Linked DNA regions of Mus musculus. The protein of the gene in region 1 interacts with the protein of each later gene in a pairwise test. Links are inferred from orthologs where the notes say so. Each region holds a gene or a part of one and is shown in the gene's direction. Other genes may lie near its edges.

The links. The genes of interacting proteins can lie anywhere in the genome.
Region 2: the proteins of Txn2 (region 1) and Scyl3 interact in binary tests that used the Homo sapiens proteins (3 or more experiments, as listed by UniProt). The two-hybrid records come from large-scale screens. The link is inferred for Mus musculus from reciprocal best matches to the Homo sapiens genes TXN2 and SCYL3.

Annotation. Positions count from the first base shown.
Region 1 is NC_000081.6:77,924,650-77,932,945, reverse strand, and holds the start of Txn2 (thioredoxin, mitochondrial precursor), read left to right. Parts: upstream 1-3,951; 5' UTR 3,952-4,039; intron 4,040-4,991; coding exon 4,992-5,254; intron 5,255-8,279; coding exon 8,280-8,296.
Region 2 is NC_000067.6:163,948,548-163,956,110, forward strand, and holds the end of Scyl3 (protein-associating with the carboxyl-terminal domain of ezrin), read left to right. Parts: intron 1-594; coding exon 595-766; intron 767-767; exon of another isoform or gene 768-2,020; coding exon 2,021-2,179; exon of another isoform or gene 2,180-3,389; coding exon 3,390-4,069; exon of another isoform or gene 4,070-4,834; coding exon 4,835-4,891; 3' UTR 4,892-5,018; coding exon of another isoform or gene 5,019-5,169; 3' UTR 5,170-5,597; coding exon of another isoform or gene 5,598-5,792; 3' UTR 5,793-6,579; downstream 6,580-7,563. Other genes in the region: BC055324 (uncharacterized protein C1orf112 homolog), read right to left, coding at 5,035-5,169, 5,602-5,792, 6,790-6,909. UniProt on the Homo sapiens protein: May play a role in regulating cell adhesion/migration complexes in migrating cells.

The DNA of each region.
Region 1 (8,296 bases):
ACCTTCGGAACAACAGTCATTGCTCTTACCAACTGAGCAATCTTGCTAGCCCTACCTACCTTTCCTCCCCCCCCCTCTCTCTTTCTTTCTTTCCTTTTTCTTTTCTCTCTTTTTCTTTCTTCTTTATTTCTCTCTCTCTCTTTCTTTCTTTCTTTCTTTTTCTTTTTCTTTTTTTTTTGGAGAGACAGGGTTTCATTTAATAGCCCTGGCTAGACTGAACTCTCTCCATAAACCAGGCTGTCCCTGAATGCACAGATCCACCTGCCTCAGCCTCCTCAGTGCTGGAACCAAAGGCATGTTCCTCCCATGCTCAGCTAATCTTGACTTTTAAAAACTGATCATAGAGGGCTGGAGAAATGTCTCAGCAGTTAAGAGCCCTTGTGGTTCTTGCAAAGAACCGGGTTCGGTTCCCAGCACCTACGTGACACCATTTCCAGGAGATCCAGCACTTTCTTCTGGCCTCGGCAAGGCACCAGGCAGGCATGTGGTGCACATGTGTACATGCAGGCGGAATCCTCATACATATAAAGTAACCAGTAAACCTAAAAACAAACAAACAACCTTTAAGCTGACCACTATGTAGATTTCACCAATGCTCACAACTCATAACCTGGAAGACAGCTGTGGCTGTCTGCCCTGACTCCCTTCCCTCTGCTTTAAGCCTATTCCCTGGTGAGCGCACCTATCCCCAGACATAGATACCACCAAGCACATGGGGGGGGGGGGCTGAGAACTAAACCTAGGTCACAGGCTGTCACCTGCTGGAGGAAAGGGGACTGACATCATGCCAGCTCCCGTAGGCGCTGCCTCTTGAGTGCTGGGATTAAAGGTGTGCACTGCTGAGCTAGCTCACAGCCCCTCTTTGAGGAAGTCATACTGTTCTCAGATGAGAAGCTCCGGCCAACAAAGGTAAGGTGACTACAGAACAAACAGAAACAGGGCTGGCTCTGCATTAGAATTCAGAATGTGGATCAAGCGAGGAAATTGGCTCTCAAGAAACGGCTCTGAAAATGCTGAATAGGATGGGTAGGTGGCTGGGGAAGAGAAAGTGCTGGAGACAGAGAAAAGCAGATATGAAAGTGGGAGGGGCAAGAGCACCCAGGCCAGATGGCTCCTGGCATTATCAGCAACAGCTGCAGCGGGGGAAGCTGACCTCAAGAGCCCAGGGATCTGGGTATCCCACCGTGGGTGGGTCGTCATCCCGGATGAGAGCAGAGGCTAAGACATGAGGTCAGTTAAGGTAGAGAGGCCACTCTGCCCACATCTGACCTCATCTGCCTTTGGTGGATAGGAGACTCTACTAAGTGGAAGGCTGACACGGCAGTGGCTAGCTAGAGTTTGTTTCCCACTCTGTCCTAGAGGAAAGGCCCTGCACAGCCCTGGGACCTGCCAATTGGACAGAGGACAAAACAGAACAGGATGTGCCAAGATGGGCTGAATACAAGCATGACAGTGGGTTTTGGAAGGGTACAGCAGGGCTGTGGAATGGATCTGGAGGTAGAACTTAATCTGGGTCACTGCTGCACCTCTAGAGTCACTGGGTACCTCCTGATGTCAGGCCCTGAGGCAAGTACTGGATATAGACCCCAAAGTGTGGGAGGTACAGACATTCCTGTGCTCACAGATAAGCACTACAGAAACCAAGAATGTTAACCGAGCAGAGTTGTCTCTTCAAAAGGAGAGATGTATAACCTGTTTTCTACCTAGAAGGCTGGGAGTGGAGGTGGCTAGAAAAGGTGGTGACCTCTGTACTATCTGTTTGATCAAGACCACACCAGATCCTTCCCCCAGACTCTTAAGATGTCACGTGTAAGTTAATCTATAGAACCCATCTTTATGGAAGACATGACGAGTACTTTACAAAAAAAAATTCAATGCAGTCATGTCTTAAGCTTTATTGTGCACCTGGGACTGAGCTAATTATCACCCGGAAATTTTGATCAAATCGTGTTGTACTTAAATATGCCTAAAATAAACCTCCCAGTGTCGAACTCTCAAAGTCTGACCCAACACCAGCTACTGAGTCGTGTTGAACTAGGCTGCCTTCCTGCCTCATGCAGATCTTGGATCATTACTCTGCGGGCCAAAGTGTTTGCACACACACACACACACACACACACACACACACACACACTTCAGGGCTGACGAAAGAGTGAGAAAAAGTGGGGATGCAGCTCAGCTGACAAAATGCGTGCTTAGTTCAGTTCCAGCACCACCTAAAACTTAGTCTGGGTTAAATGAGACTCTATCAAAGAAAGAAAGAAAGAAAAGAGGTGCAGAGGATGGAGGGGAGATGGAGAGAGAACAGAGGTAGAAAGAGAGGAGAGAAAAAAGAAGTAAGAAGACAGAGAGGGGGAGAGAGGGAGGACAAAAGTAAAAGAGAGAGGGCTGGAGAGATGGCTCAGTGGTTAAGAGCACTGACTGCTCTTCCAGAGGTTCAATTCCACCACATGGTGGCTCACAACCATCTGTAATGGGATCCGATGCCCTCTTCTGGTGTGCCTGAAGACAGTGACAGTGTACTTATATACATAAAATAAATACATCTAAAAAAAGAAAAGAAACAGATAACAAAACAATGAACAGAGACTGGTGGCTGTCAGTTGCAAAGACGAGGGCTGACCTCCACTGGAGCAGACAGAAAAGGGACCCAGAGACAGTGCAGAATCTAGTACCTAGTAGCACTTTTCTCAGAGAGCTCTGGGAGAGCCTTCCAGGCACAACTGCAGATGTAGAACACAAAGACGCCTCAGCAAACCACTAATTATTGAGAGAGTGGGTTAAAATAGGGTGGTAGATGGAGTCCATCTGCTGGGACACATCACATAACCCCTCTGACAGAAACCACTTGCTGAGGTGCGCAAAGATTCTCAACTTAGTGTCTATTGAACAGCCTCTCTGTGCTGGGCATTGTACCAGGTTGGCGCTAAGTATATGCAGATGAGACAACCACAAGTCCCTACTCTCAGAAAGAGACGTTGTCCATGTGTTCTGGAGGATTATAAAGCAGGCGCTAGTGAGAAGAAAGCAGTACTATTCAGAGAAGATAAGGTGAGCAGGTGTTCTAAGTACCCAGAGACAAAGTTCAAAGTGAGCAAAGGTATGGAAGGGAAGGTGGACAGCAACGTGTTCCCCGATCGTAAGGGGCTGGAATACTGGTTACAATATGCATAAATGAGGGACTTACACCTCAGTCACTCATGCCAGTGGGAATGGAGAGAAAGCCCTACACTTTACCTTGGATAGTGCTTCCTTGACAGTTCCAAAAAGTAAGACATGACAGTACAAAAGGTAAGGGCTTTAGAAGTACCGCCAGCCCTTAGGGGCAGAGGGACTTGCTCAATCATAAGAAGTTAGGTTGGGCAGAAAAGAATCAAAAACGGCAGAATAACCCCTTAATGCGACATGTGTACACACACACACACCACACACACGACCGGATCTCACGTAGTTCCTAAGTATCGAGGATGACTTTGAACTCCTGAGCCCTCCGGGGTCCTGGGATTAGGTGTGTGCCATCACACCCAGTTTACTTGGTATTGAGAAGCCAGGCTTTGGGTGTGCTAGACAGGAATCCAATTGAGCCATAACCCCAGCCCGGGAATCTCTTCCTTTTAACACTAAGCTTCTGTCGAGAACAGAGCTTCCTCGGCATTAAAGTGAACACAGCCTTCCAGCCCTTTCCAGAGCTCAGATCCAAGGGTGGGCAATGCCAAGAGGCGCAACACAGCAGGAGCTTGTTCCAAAGCCACTCCTTCCTTCCCGCCCTCTCACCCATCTCCTCCCTCACTGGTCCCACACATTTTCCGGTCCCTCCTCCACGATCCCATTCCTTCCGGTCGCGCCCCTTCAGCCCTACATTTTTCCGTCCTCCTCATTGGTGAAAAAAACCGAGCCGCCCCCAAGTTGCAGAGAAACGTCGTCCGCATAGTCTTTCCCGGAAATGACGCTAGACCTGCCCCTGAGGAAGTGACAACAGGAGTGCCCTTGACGGGCAGGCCGGCTGGGCTCTGCATCCCTCTGCTCGCACTGCCGGGAGGTAGGAGCCCTTGCGGGGTGGGCTGAGCCGGGCTGGCGGCGCGCTTCTCTGCAGGAAGGCGATCGGCAGGGGGATGCCCCTAGAGGGAGGAGGTGGCCTTGGCAGCTGCACGTCCTGTGCTCCCAGTCTCCCTGTCCCCCACCCTCCCCAACACGTGTCCATTCTTTGGGCTTCCCTCCGTACACATGCCACCCGCTTCACTTTGGTACCCCATGGCCGGTTCCTACGCCTCTCAGTTCCTCCTTCCGTAGTTGGGAGTCTTCTTCGCTCATTCTTCGACAGCTTCCCTTTCCTTAATTTCCCATAAAAACACTTTTTTAAAAGAATGACTGATAAAAATTTTACAGACGGCCTTGGGTTCCAATTAGCTGTACTTTAAAAACTGGCCTACGTTGGGCATGGCACTTAACCTACCTGTTGCCCTGAGTATGGACGGTATTATAAGGTTTCTTCAGAGTTGATCAGAGAGAGCCAGTGATGTGTGTGTGTGTGGGGGGGGGGGGCATTGGGCTATACACAGTGATGTAAGGCACTTGAGCCTTGTCCCTCCCTCCATTGACCTTTTATAATTCCACCTCAGCCTTGATTTCTTTTTGGCTGTCAACCCAGTTTTTCTGCCCTTCTAACTTAACGTCTATTCAGTGATGCTGACTCCTTACTCACCTCTAGATATTTTTTTTTTGTTGTCGTGGGGAGGTTTTAGAGACCAGGTTTTATTGTCTAGCCCAAACTGACCTTGCCTTATATCACCTGCCTCGCCTCCCAGGAGGAGGATTGACAGGTGGGCCCCACCACACCTGGCCTTTGAAAATCATATATTACAGTATTTCCATGCATCTTGCTTCCAATTCTGTATGTTCCCAACACCTCATTATTCCAGAATTCTTTGTTTTCCTAGTGTGTTGACTTCCTATTGCATGGCCCCAGCTCTTCCTGCCTCTTGCTCCCACAGATGGCTCAGCGGCTCCTCCTGGGGAGGTTCCTGACCTCAGTCATCTCCAGGAAGCCTCCTCAGGGTGTGTGGGCTTCCCTCACCTCTAAGACCCTGCAGACCCCTCAGTACAATGCTGGTGGTCTAACAGTAATGCCCAGCCCAGCCCGGACAGTACACACCACCAGAGTCTGTTTGACGACCTTTAACGTCCAGGATGGACCTGACTTTCAAGACAGAGTTGTCAACAGTGAGACACCAGTTGTTGTGGACTTTCATGCACAGTGAGTACTGGGGACAGTAAGAGATGGAGGGTCTTACTTAAGTATTTATTGAGGGCTCACTATGGCTCTCTACCATGTGTAATGCTTATCTACATACACTCATTATGAAGACTTTTGAGACCCTGTGCCTGTCCTTAAGTATGCAGTATGGTAGGAGACAGATTGATGGTCTTCCTAGCACACTAGGAGACATGCTGCCTCATGCCTACGTCCTGTATCTCAGTGCCCGAAAAGCTCAGAGTCTGCTCCAGTGTGGAACAACATCGTATTTTAACATCGAAACCCACTAAAACTGTGGGAAGGACTGGGCAAAACATTATCAGTGCCACCATAGCCGTCCCCAAGTACGGATGGGGTGGGCAGGAGGTGTATCTTCTCAGTACCGCAGGGGTGTGTTTTAGAGATATATAAATGCCTGCCTTGTGGCCTGGTCTTCATTTCCAGACCTTTACACCAGATTCAACCAAAAAGCCAAGAACCCGATTGCCATCAGGTTTTCTGGACAAGTCTCACCGATTCTTTTGTTTTCTTCCTGGTCCTTTCTCTGACTCACCTCGTTGCCTTGACCAGGCCAGTGCGTGTCCTTGTCATCTGAGATAAGGCCTTGCAGGCTGGCTTTTTAGGTATAGATTTATTAATTGATTGACATTTCTGAATGGGAGTTTTGGGGTAGGGGATAGGGGTTGAGATAGAGTCTTGCCATTTAGCCTAGGTCAGACTTGAACTTATCTCCTCCTGCCTCCACCTCCTATATATGAGATTACTGGTATGTGCCAGCTCAGAAAAGGAGTTAATGGCCAGGGACCTCTGCCTTCCTGTGATGGTGGGGGGGCTTCGAAGGGAATAGTCAGTGGGCTAATCCTTCTTTTGTCCTATACAAGGTAGTTAATTGCATGGTTCAGCTTTGTTTGTTTAGTGCCAGGCACACGTCCGGTACCACATACAGAGATGATAGCACACTGTCTGCCCTAGGAGAGTTCCTGCTCCCCAGCCAAGGAGGGATCGCTCCCGTACATTGCAGTGTGATCCTCGGCCGCTGACACAAAATCAGAAGAAAGTTCTGGAGTGAAAGGGTCACCCAGAGACACTTTGTCTACAAAAAAAATCCCAGGGGCTGGAGAGATGGCTCAGTGGTTAAGAGCACTGACTGCTCTTCCAGAGGTCCTGAGTTCAATTCCCAGCAACCACATGGTGGTGAGCCACCATCTGTAACGGGGTCTGATGCCCTCTTCTGGTGTGGCTGAAGACAGATACAGTGTACTCATATACATAAATAAATAAATCATTAAAAAACAAAAACGGGCTCACAACCATCCGTAACAAAAATCTGATGCCCTCTTCTGGAGTATCTGAAGACAGCTACAGTGTACACACATATAATAAATAAATAAATCTTTAAAAACAAACCAAAAAAAAACAAAAACAAAAAAACAATTTTAGTGGCTGGAGAGATGGCTCCGCGGTTGAGAGCATTGGCTGCTTTTCCAGAGGACCTGGGTTCAGTTCCCATAACCCATACGGTAGCTCACAAACTGTCTATATCTCCAGTTCTAGGGGAGCTGACACCCTCACACCAGTGCACATAAATTCAATTTATAAGTAAATAAAAAAAAAAGGGTTAACCTTTGTTTAGCTGGGCAGTGGTGGTACATACCTTTAATCCCAGCATTCGGGAGGTAAGGACAGGTGGATTTCTGAGTTTGAGGCCAGCCTGGTCTACAGAGAGTTCCAGGACAGCCAGGGCTACACAGAGAAACCCTGCCTTGGTCTGGTGAGATGGCTCAGTGGTTAAGAGCACTGACTTCCGAAGGTCCAGAGTTCAAATCCCAGCAACCACATGGTGGCTCACAACCATCCTTAACAAGATCTGACTCCCTCTTCTGGAGTGTCTGAAGACAGCTACAGTGTACTTACAATAAATAAATAAATCTTTAAAAAAAAACAAAACAAAACAATGAATTTATTAAAAAAAAAAAAAAAAAGAAACCCTGCCTTGAAGAACAAAACAAAACCAATTCCAGCACCTAGCAAGTAGAGACAAGTGGATCTCTGAGTTTGAGGCTAGCTTAGTCTACAAGTCAAGTTCCAACCCGACAAGGGCTACAGAGTGAGACCATGTTCCAAACCAACACCTCCATCCCTCTCCTCCCCCCCCCCCCAAAAAAAGGAAAGAAAGATGCTTTTAGCAATCCTGAGGTGATCCTGGCTCTCTTGTTTTATCAAACAAGACTGGGCTTCACTATGTAGCCCAGGCTAGCCTCAACTTCCTGTTCCTCTTTCTTCCTGTCTTGGTTTACTTTTTTTTGTTGCTATGACAAAATATCCTGACAAAAGAAACCTAAGGGAGAAAAGGAGCTGGCCACAGTTGCAAGCAGGGTCCATCACAGTGGCGGGGGCTTGGGGCAGCTGGCCATATTGTATCCATAGTGAAGCAAAGCGTTGCTGTGCTCAACTCCCCAGCTCCCCCTCCCACACCCCTCTTTTTAAACATTTATTTATCATGTGTGTGCATACATACATGCTCGTACCATGTTATGCATGTGGAGATTGGAGGTTAGCCCTCTGGACTTGACTCTCCCAGCATGTAGGCTCCCAGCGGCAAGCACCTAACTTGCATGCTCACATTCTCCTTCTCAGAATCCTAGCTCAGAGCCACCCACCCACCCACAGCTGGTGGCTCTATCCCACCTTGGTTTACATCATCAGAATAACCCTCCATGGGCATGCCCAGAGACCCCTCTCCCGAGTTCAGGAATTACCGGACTGCGCCCCATTGCCAGGCTGTGCTTGCCATCCTGTCATCTGTAAGAACTCCACATGCCCTGGTTCTGTCAGGGGCCGTTGTCTCTGAAGGTTCTGCCTAGCTCTGAGAAGGTTCCAGCACGAAGGCTGGCCGTTGCAGACGCTCCTGGGTTTCTATCCCTTCCATTCCCCCCTCAGAATCCATGTGGGGCCCGGGGAGGCTCTGGGGAGAAATGTGGAGCAGCGAGCACTCAGGGCTGACTGTCCCTTCTCACCTCCAAAGGTGGTGTGGCCCCTGCA
Region 2 (7,563 bases), on another chromosome or scaffold:
TCTGAGTATGCATAAAGTTAAGAATTATAGAGTTTAGACCAGCAACATAGCTTGTCAGTCCCTAGAATGATCTGAGTGTGCTCTGCAGAGCAGTGTCGCTCCTACGCTGTTAATGTTCCATAATGAAGAAAGTTTGAATATTTATATGTAAAATTGCCATTTGTAGCAGTTGGGAGTTTTTAGTTTCCATTGTATTTCATCAGGGCTCTATCTTAAAAAATACATATATTTGTATGTATGTGCCTTCATTTATGTGCATGCATACCTTCCACAGCTCATGTGTGGAGGACAACCCATGGGAGGCAGTTCTCTTTCCACCATGTGGGGGGATCTTCATGGTCGTCAGGATTCAAAGCAAGAGCCTTTAGCCACTGAGCTGGCTTGCCAGTCCTGGTGTTTTGTTTTCTTAAGTAGCAATCCAAGCTGGACTGGGAGGGATGGATATTGTTTTCTTCCTTTAGAAGGTTAGAGAGCCACCAACCTTAGAAATTAAATGTCGTTCATTTGAACAAGCTTTATGACTGCAGGCCAGTTGGTCCTTTCCAGGATACAAAGATAATGGTTGTCTACCCTTATCCCCAATTTTGCTCCTAGGTACTACTGGGCCTTCGTGATACCAGCAATTCCATTGTGGCAATTACTCTCCGTAGCCTGGCAGTGCTGGTGTCTTTACTTGGACCAGAAGTGGTTGTGGGAGGAGAACGAACCAAGATCTTTAAGCGCACCGCTCCAAGCTTCACCAAAACTAGTGACCTTTCCCCTGAAGGTAAGACTAAAAATTATTTTATTAGGTTTTTTAGTATTATAGAATACAGGTTCATGTTGAAGTTAATAGACAGAAAGCATGAGAAAAAGTTGAATTTCTCTTTTCAAACTCATAGTGGGTACAGAGTAACCTTTAATGGCTTAAGTGAGAATCCTTTTTTGCAAACCCATGAGACAGATAACTGTTTACATACGATTATTTTAATGATGCTATGTACAAATTTATTATTTTCATGTACTATATATTAAAGATGTGTTCCCACGTCATTGCATAAACGCTACCTCACTTTTCTACCTGCCTCATATTTCACTGAATCCAATTCAGTGAGTTAGTGATGGCTGCTGTTTCTGCTGCTGGATTTTAGTCAGTATGTACTAGTATTGTTAGAATACTTACACATGCATCTTTATATGTGTGGTCCCACTCCCATAGCAGTCTCAGAAGCAGACTTTGTAGGTTAGAGGATATATTTGAATTTTAGTAGGGACTAAAGACTTGTTTTTTTAACACTAGATGCTTAAGTTACTTTGTTAGACTACTTGGATAAAAGATATTTTTGAGTACTTCAGGAAATCGTTCTTTGGTTTGTTTTGTATTAACAAAATTAGCCTTTTTGCTACTTTGTATGACCTTGAATAGGACCATGATTTCTTTACAAAATCCTGGGTCTCTAATGCAGTTCCTTGGATTGGAGTGCTAGACACTGAGCGCTGAGGGTGAAGGAGAGAGACAGGTGCTCTAGAGAGCTGAAGCCTTAGAGTGACACTTCACTCCCCTTAGCCTAGCTTTAAAGTAGGGGAAATATTCAGCTGTAATTAGAAATCTTTCTGACTGACATCTAATCTTAAGTGTAAGTTTCCTGGTAATTGTTAAGCCTGCTTTCCTCACTCACTGTCAAATACCACAACAGAAAAGTTATTTTCAGTGTATAGTTCTGTGGTGCTAAGTCATTATTTTGGGCTTGTACTCTTACTAGCCTTTTATTCTTAAAAGGAAATTAGAATCATGGTCTTACATTGCTACCAGAACAATTTTAAGGACTGAAATTTTATCTATGCATTGCCTCATAGTTCTGTCCCATCACCAAGTGGCAACAGAACCTGTCTTTAACCTCAGGAGACAGGAAACCCATTTAATAATGTTTTTTTCACCAAATATTTAATGATGTTCTTTTATCTGTGCTACATGCACCATTTCCCCTGACTGTTGCTCACCAATCATGTCCAAGGTGTAAGCACACCCCTCTCCCTTCAGGTTCTCCCATGCATGTTGTCTGCAGCCAGCAGAGTCGGGTCTCAAAAGTCTTGGAGGACCCCTCGTCTAACGTATTCCCTAAATGGTTGTCTGGCAACGTGCCCAGCAGCAGCAGGAAGCGCATACAGGAAGAATGTTACAGCTCTCTCTCACAGACAGGTAAGAACCTCAGCTGTGTCCTACTGCTCTGAGCTGTTCCTGAGAATGGTAAGTACACTTTGGACTAGCTGTCTTGTCTGACCTCTCCAAACAGTTGTTATGCATCTAATCCTCCCACATTGTACATTAACAGTACTTGAATTCATTTTTGTATCAGATGCTTTGGTATTCTGATACCTTCTGCATCATAATATACCAAAAGTGAAGAGTTCTATAAGATGTTAATAAAGACACGTAGCCAAAAATGTTCACTAGGATAGGAAACTGGAGTAAACCTAGATCCCTCAATACCTGATGACATTTGAGAAAATCTGTTTTAAACTTATTTGTGGGCCAGACAGATTGATGGTTCAGCAGTTCGTTAAAAGAACAAATTACTCTTGCAGGGGACACAAGTTTGGTCCCCAGCACTGGCCTCTAACTAACTCCAGCTCTAGGGCATCCTGTCCTCTGACGTCTGTGGGCACTTCACCCACATGCACGTGTACACACACAGTTAAAGATGAGTCTCGGAACAGTGAAATGGGCTGGACAGATGGCTCAGGAGGTAAAAGCTCTTGTGGCGAAAGGCTAGCAACCCAAGTTCAATGAAAAAGTAGAACCAACTGCACTCTGTCCTTTACCTATACACTATCTGGCATGTATGCACCCAGATCCCCTCCTTGCCAACCCCAGTAAATAAATAAAAAACAAACAAACAAAAAACTTACTTGAGCACACATTTCTAGGTGTAATTACTACCAAAGGATAAGACTGATTCTGTATTTATCTGTATTTGAAAGACTTATGCCAACAGGTATTTGGACATTTAGTCAATGATCTAAAAAGATCAGTTAATTATGACATGGTATGCCTTTGAGTTAAGTGCCATGTGGATTTGGAGAATTTATTTGGCATCTTTTTTTTTAAAAGATTTATTTATTACTTATTATATGTAAGTACACTGTAGCTGTCTTCAGACACTCCAGAAGAGGGCGTCAGATCTCATTATGGATGGTTGTGAGCCACCATGTGGTTGCTGGGATTTGAACTCCGGACCTTCGGAAGAGCAGTCGGGTGCTCTTACCTGCTGAGCCATCTCACCAGCCCCTATTTGGCATCTTTATGTTCTACTGCCTAACTTTTGCTAGTGTTCATGGATATTTCCAATTAGACCTACTTATTGCTTGCTTTAAGATTTCATGAGACTAATTCTCGCATATACCCATAGGTGATCAGTTTTCTCACACCATTAAATTCCCTATGAATGGACTCTCAGATGTGAAAAACACTTCAGAGGACAATGGAAGCTTCCCTGCAGGTTCTAATAAGCCCGAGGAGTGGCCTGACTGGAGCGAGCCTGAGGAGCCTGAGCAGCAGCCTGCCAGTATTCACAGATGGCCCCGAGAACCCTGTGATGTAGCAGAGTCCCAGCACACAAACCTGACCGCAGAGGAGGTGACCTGGGATGATGGTGAGGCTAGCTTTGGCACTGAAATAAACTCAACAGCTACAGCCTCTGCTCCTGTGCCTGTTACCTCAGGGGGACAGTCAACCTCTGCAGCTTTGGTTCCTCTCACTGAAGAGTCAAAGCCTTTGCAATCCAGTCCTTCCTCAAAGACCAGTCATAGACAGCATGAGGAAGTCAAACCACCCCAAGTGTCACAAGAAAGACCCCTGAAGGCTCCGTCAGGACTTGGTTTGGGAGAAGAGTTTACCATTCAAGTAAAAAAGAAGCCAGTACAAGACCCGGAGTTGGACTGGTTTGCAGATATGATCCCAGAAATTAAGCCTTCAGGTACTTTTCTTATTCTGCCTGAACTAAGGACAGAAGTGATGGTCCCTGACAAGGATAACGTCTCATCACTGATGCAGTTTTCCTCAAAGTTTGCTGCAACAGAAATGACCGAGGTGAGTTCTTTCTTTGTAATAAGCGTGCTACTGTCAGGGTTTCTCTCAGAAGTCCTAGCTAGCAATAAACAAGCATTTTTATCAACGAAAGAACAGAGTGCACAGCTGACTAAAAATGTTCAAAGTAAACCCAGAAATAATACAACCAGTTCCTAGAAAATTATTTCAGAGTGCTACAAAAAGGAACTAGTCCTTCAGACATGCCCAACCTGTTAACATGACACAATGCTATCATCTACAGTGTTCATGGTTCAGAATTTTAAAGAAATCAAACTACCAAGATGGCTCTATGGTTAACAATACGGGCTATTCTGGAGGCCTGGGTTTGATTGCTGGCTTTCTCAGGATGCGTCACATGAAATGATCTGTTAACTCGAGTTCCAGGAGATTCAATCCCTCCGACCTGTACAGGCACCAGACACAGTGGGGCATAGATATATGCATGCACATCAATGTTTTTTAAAAATACAAACCCATTTTATATCTTCTGTTTTGTGCCTTGTGTATAACTGTCCTTGGCCACATCTGGGTCCACCTGCTAAATGAGTAACTCCTCGATGTGGGGAAAGATGTCACTGTGTTGCACACTTACTTTCCAATGGGTGTGGTTTTTAACATCAGAACTAATCTTGCTTTTAACTTTTGGTAACAGCTTTATCGTTTCTTATCATAAGGCATTCTCTCTGGGTCATTTTTAAATGCTTGGCTTTTCAGATGTGTACACAATTTGCCGCAGACAGCTAGTGTCAGTGTGTTCTGTTGCAGGGAGAGGCAGAAGGCTGGGAAGGAGAAGAGCTAGCCTGGGAAGATAACAACTGGTGACGATAATGAAAAGCTTCAGGAAGAATTCTCAAAGAATTAATACCTCAAAGCAAGCTGCATGGATGCAAAACCCCAAAGCAGCTTGTGTTCCCCACACCAGGAGCTCTTTTTTGCAGTCTGTGCCAAGTCAAGCAGAGACCAACCTCAGGTTGCTGACTAAGTCCTGGTGGCAAAAGGCTTCGGTGCCAGAGTCCAGGAGAAAGTGCTGTGTGCACTTGACTGAGGCCAGTTTCCATACAAAGCAAACAGCTAAAGAAGTGCTTTTTTCCAGGACAATTCTGGAAGAAATAAAAAATTCAAGCTGGTAAGCTTAATTTTGTGCCATTTCTTTAAAAGAGTAAATTCTATTATGAAATAACTTAGTGGAAAAAGAAAACAAACAAACCTAGCTGTAAATTATAACTTCAGACTGCTAAGGCTCCTTAGGCAGTTTGTCTGTTTACAGTCTGTCCCTCTCCTTCGGACCTGGGCAGTTACTGTTTCACCTGTATTACACTGGACCAAAGCTCTCAATGAGAAATACCCACCCTCATCTCCCATCTTGTTCTTTATGTCAAATAAAGATTATTTTCACATTTACAAAAGCTCTTTTATGTGCTATGAAAATATACAAACATAATTTACATTCACAATTTCATTTACAAAACACCCAGGCAGGCATCTGAAGAGTCAGCCCAGTTCTGTCGATACACAGGCCATTCATATTTTACCCTGTAAGCACACAGCGTTTTAGCTTCTCGATCCTTCCTTGCAGCGCCTCCAGTTCTGGCAGCAGCCATGCTGGAGCAAGAGAGTGTTTGAGTAAAAACTCAGTTGTCTCCAAAGCCCTTGCTGCAGCTTTAAATACTGATCTGTATTCTTCTTCAAAGGGCAACACCCGACGGGCTCTCTTTGTGTGAGGCTGGAAAATAAGGAAATCATGAAACAAGTAATACATAATACTCATTCTAAAAATAATATAAGAGAAACTAGTCATAGGATCACGAAGAAGGCAGCCTTCCCATTTGTATTAACAATAACCTAAATGTGCTACTACTCTCCACGTCCTAACTTGTATGTGGCAGACAAGAAGTCGCACTGTGCAACGGTTCCCAATGATAAATGCTGTCTTGTCCAACAACTATCCACGAGTAGTCTTTAAAAACATCATTAAGGAAATAAAACATGAATTTCCTAATAAGTTTGTAAATGCTGAGAGCCATAATACCTTTCAACATACTTTTGGAGCCAATTAAGGAAAACTAAGGCTCCAGACATCTTGCATAGAAGGGGAAGAGGAACTGAGGTGAAACTAAAACATATCTTAACAACTAGTTTTTCAAAGGGAAGTCACAGTTTAAATTCATAGGGCTTTCGAACACAACTGACTTAAATTGAACTTTATATATATTCAGGCCTACAGCTACATCCAAGAAAACAAGTTACTATTGCACTATAAACCTAGAACATTGTTTTCCTTAGGACCCTATTCTATCACCTGTGTTCAAAACACAATTTTGAATGTATGTAGTCGTGTCAAATTTCTGCCAATTAATAGGTACATGTGATATTTGAGAAAAGTGATTATTATTGATGAGATGAATTGAACAAACTGACATCTAAGTGTCAGAAAATGCATTTATGTCATCATTGGTACAATATGCAATTACCAATAATAAAGAGTATATTTGGTACAATGGTTACAATTATTTCTTGTGTTCTTGTCTGTGTTGGTAACATTTCAGGGAAAGTGTATGGTTTTTGGTTTTGGTTTTTGATGTACAACTACCATAAAGTAAGAATTTTACCTGTCTACATTTTACTTGAAATTCAACATGAGGACAAGAATCAAACTAGTTCATCAGTAATGAGGGCAGATTCCCTTGTTTGACCAGTACATGCTTAAAAGCAGCCCATACCTGAAACGCTGACGTCTTCACTTCTTCTACAGTCACCTTAGCAGCAGGTTCCCAGAAAGTGCCTTTCTCCTGCTTCACATTGTCCACTGTGGCAACCTCAGCTTCATCTACAGATTCTGTCTGCCAAAGAGCACCAAAGAACACATTACATTCTCTACTAGATAGCAAGTGATATGAAATCTAGAAGATGAAAACACTGACTAGTTTATGTGTATGTCTGTAAATGCTGAGTGTTAAAACTGTTCTGGTTTAATCTGTGACCCAGCAAATTCTAGGTTAGGTAGACTCATCTTAATGTTAGAGCAGTGGCTCTCAGCCTTCCTGATGCTGCAGCCCTTTAATACAGCTCCTCATGGTGTGCTGACTCAACCATAACATTAGTTCCTTACTACTTCATAACTGTAATTCTGCTACTGTTACAGATCGTTAATATAAATATCTGATATGCAACCCCTTGTGGTGGTCACAACCCACAGGTTGAGAGCGACTGCCTTAGATTGTTCACTACAGAATTAAGAGTTGCCGACAAAAAGTCTGTTAACCTTACAGTACAGGGTGTGATGCTGTCAAAGCAACTACCTACAAATGTCCTTAAAGTCCTCAACTCTAACATGCTTAGTAACAATGCAGAGAAGTAAGTTCTATACCTACAACCCAGTTAAGTATGTGCTTAAGTATAATTTACATTTTCTGGTATCATAAGTGTGGTTTGGCAGGTCTGATTATTAGTATTTCAATTACTCCCTAAATCATAACACCAGTTATGATACCTGT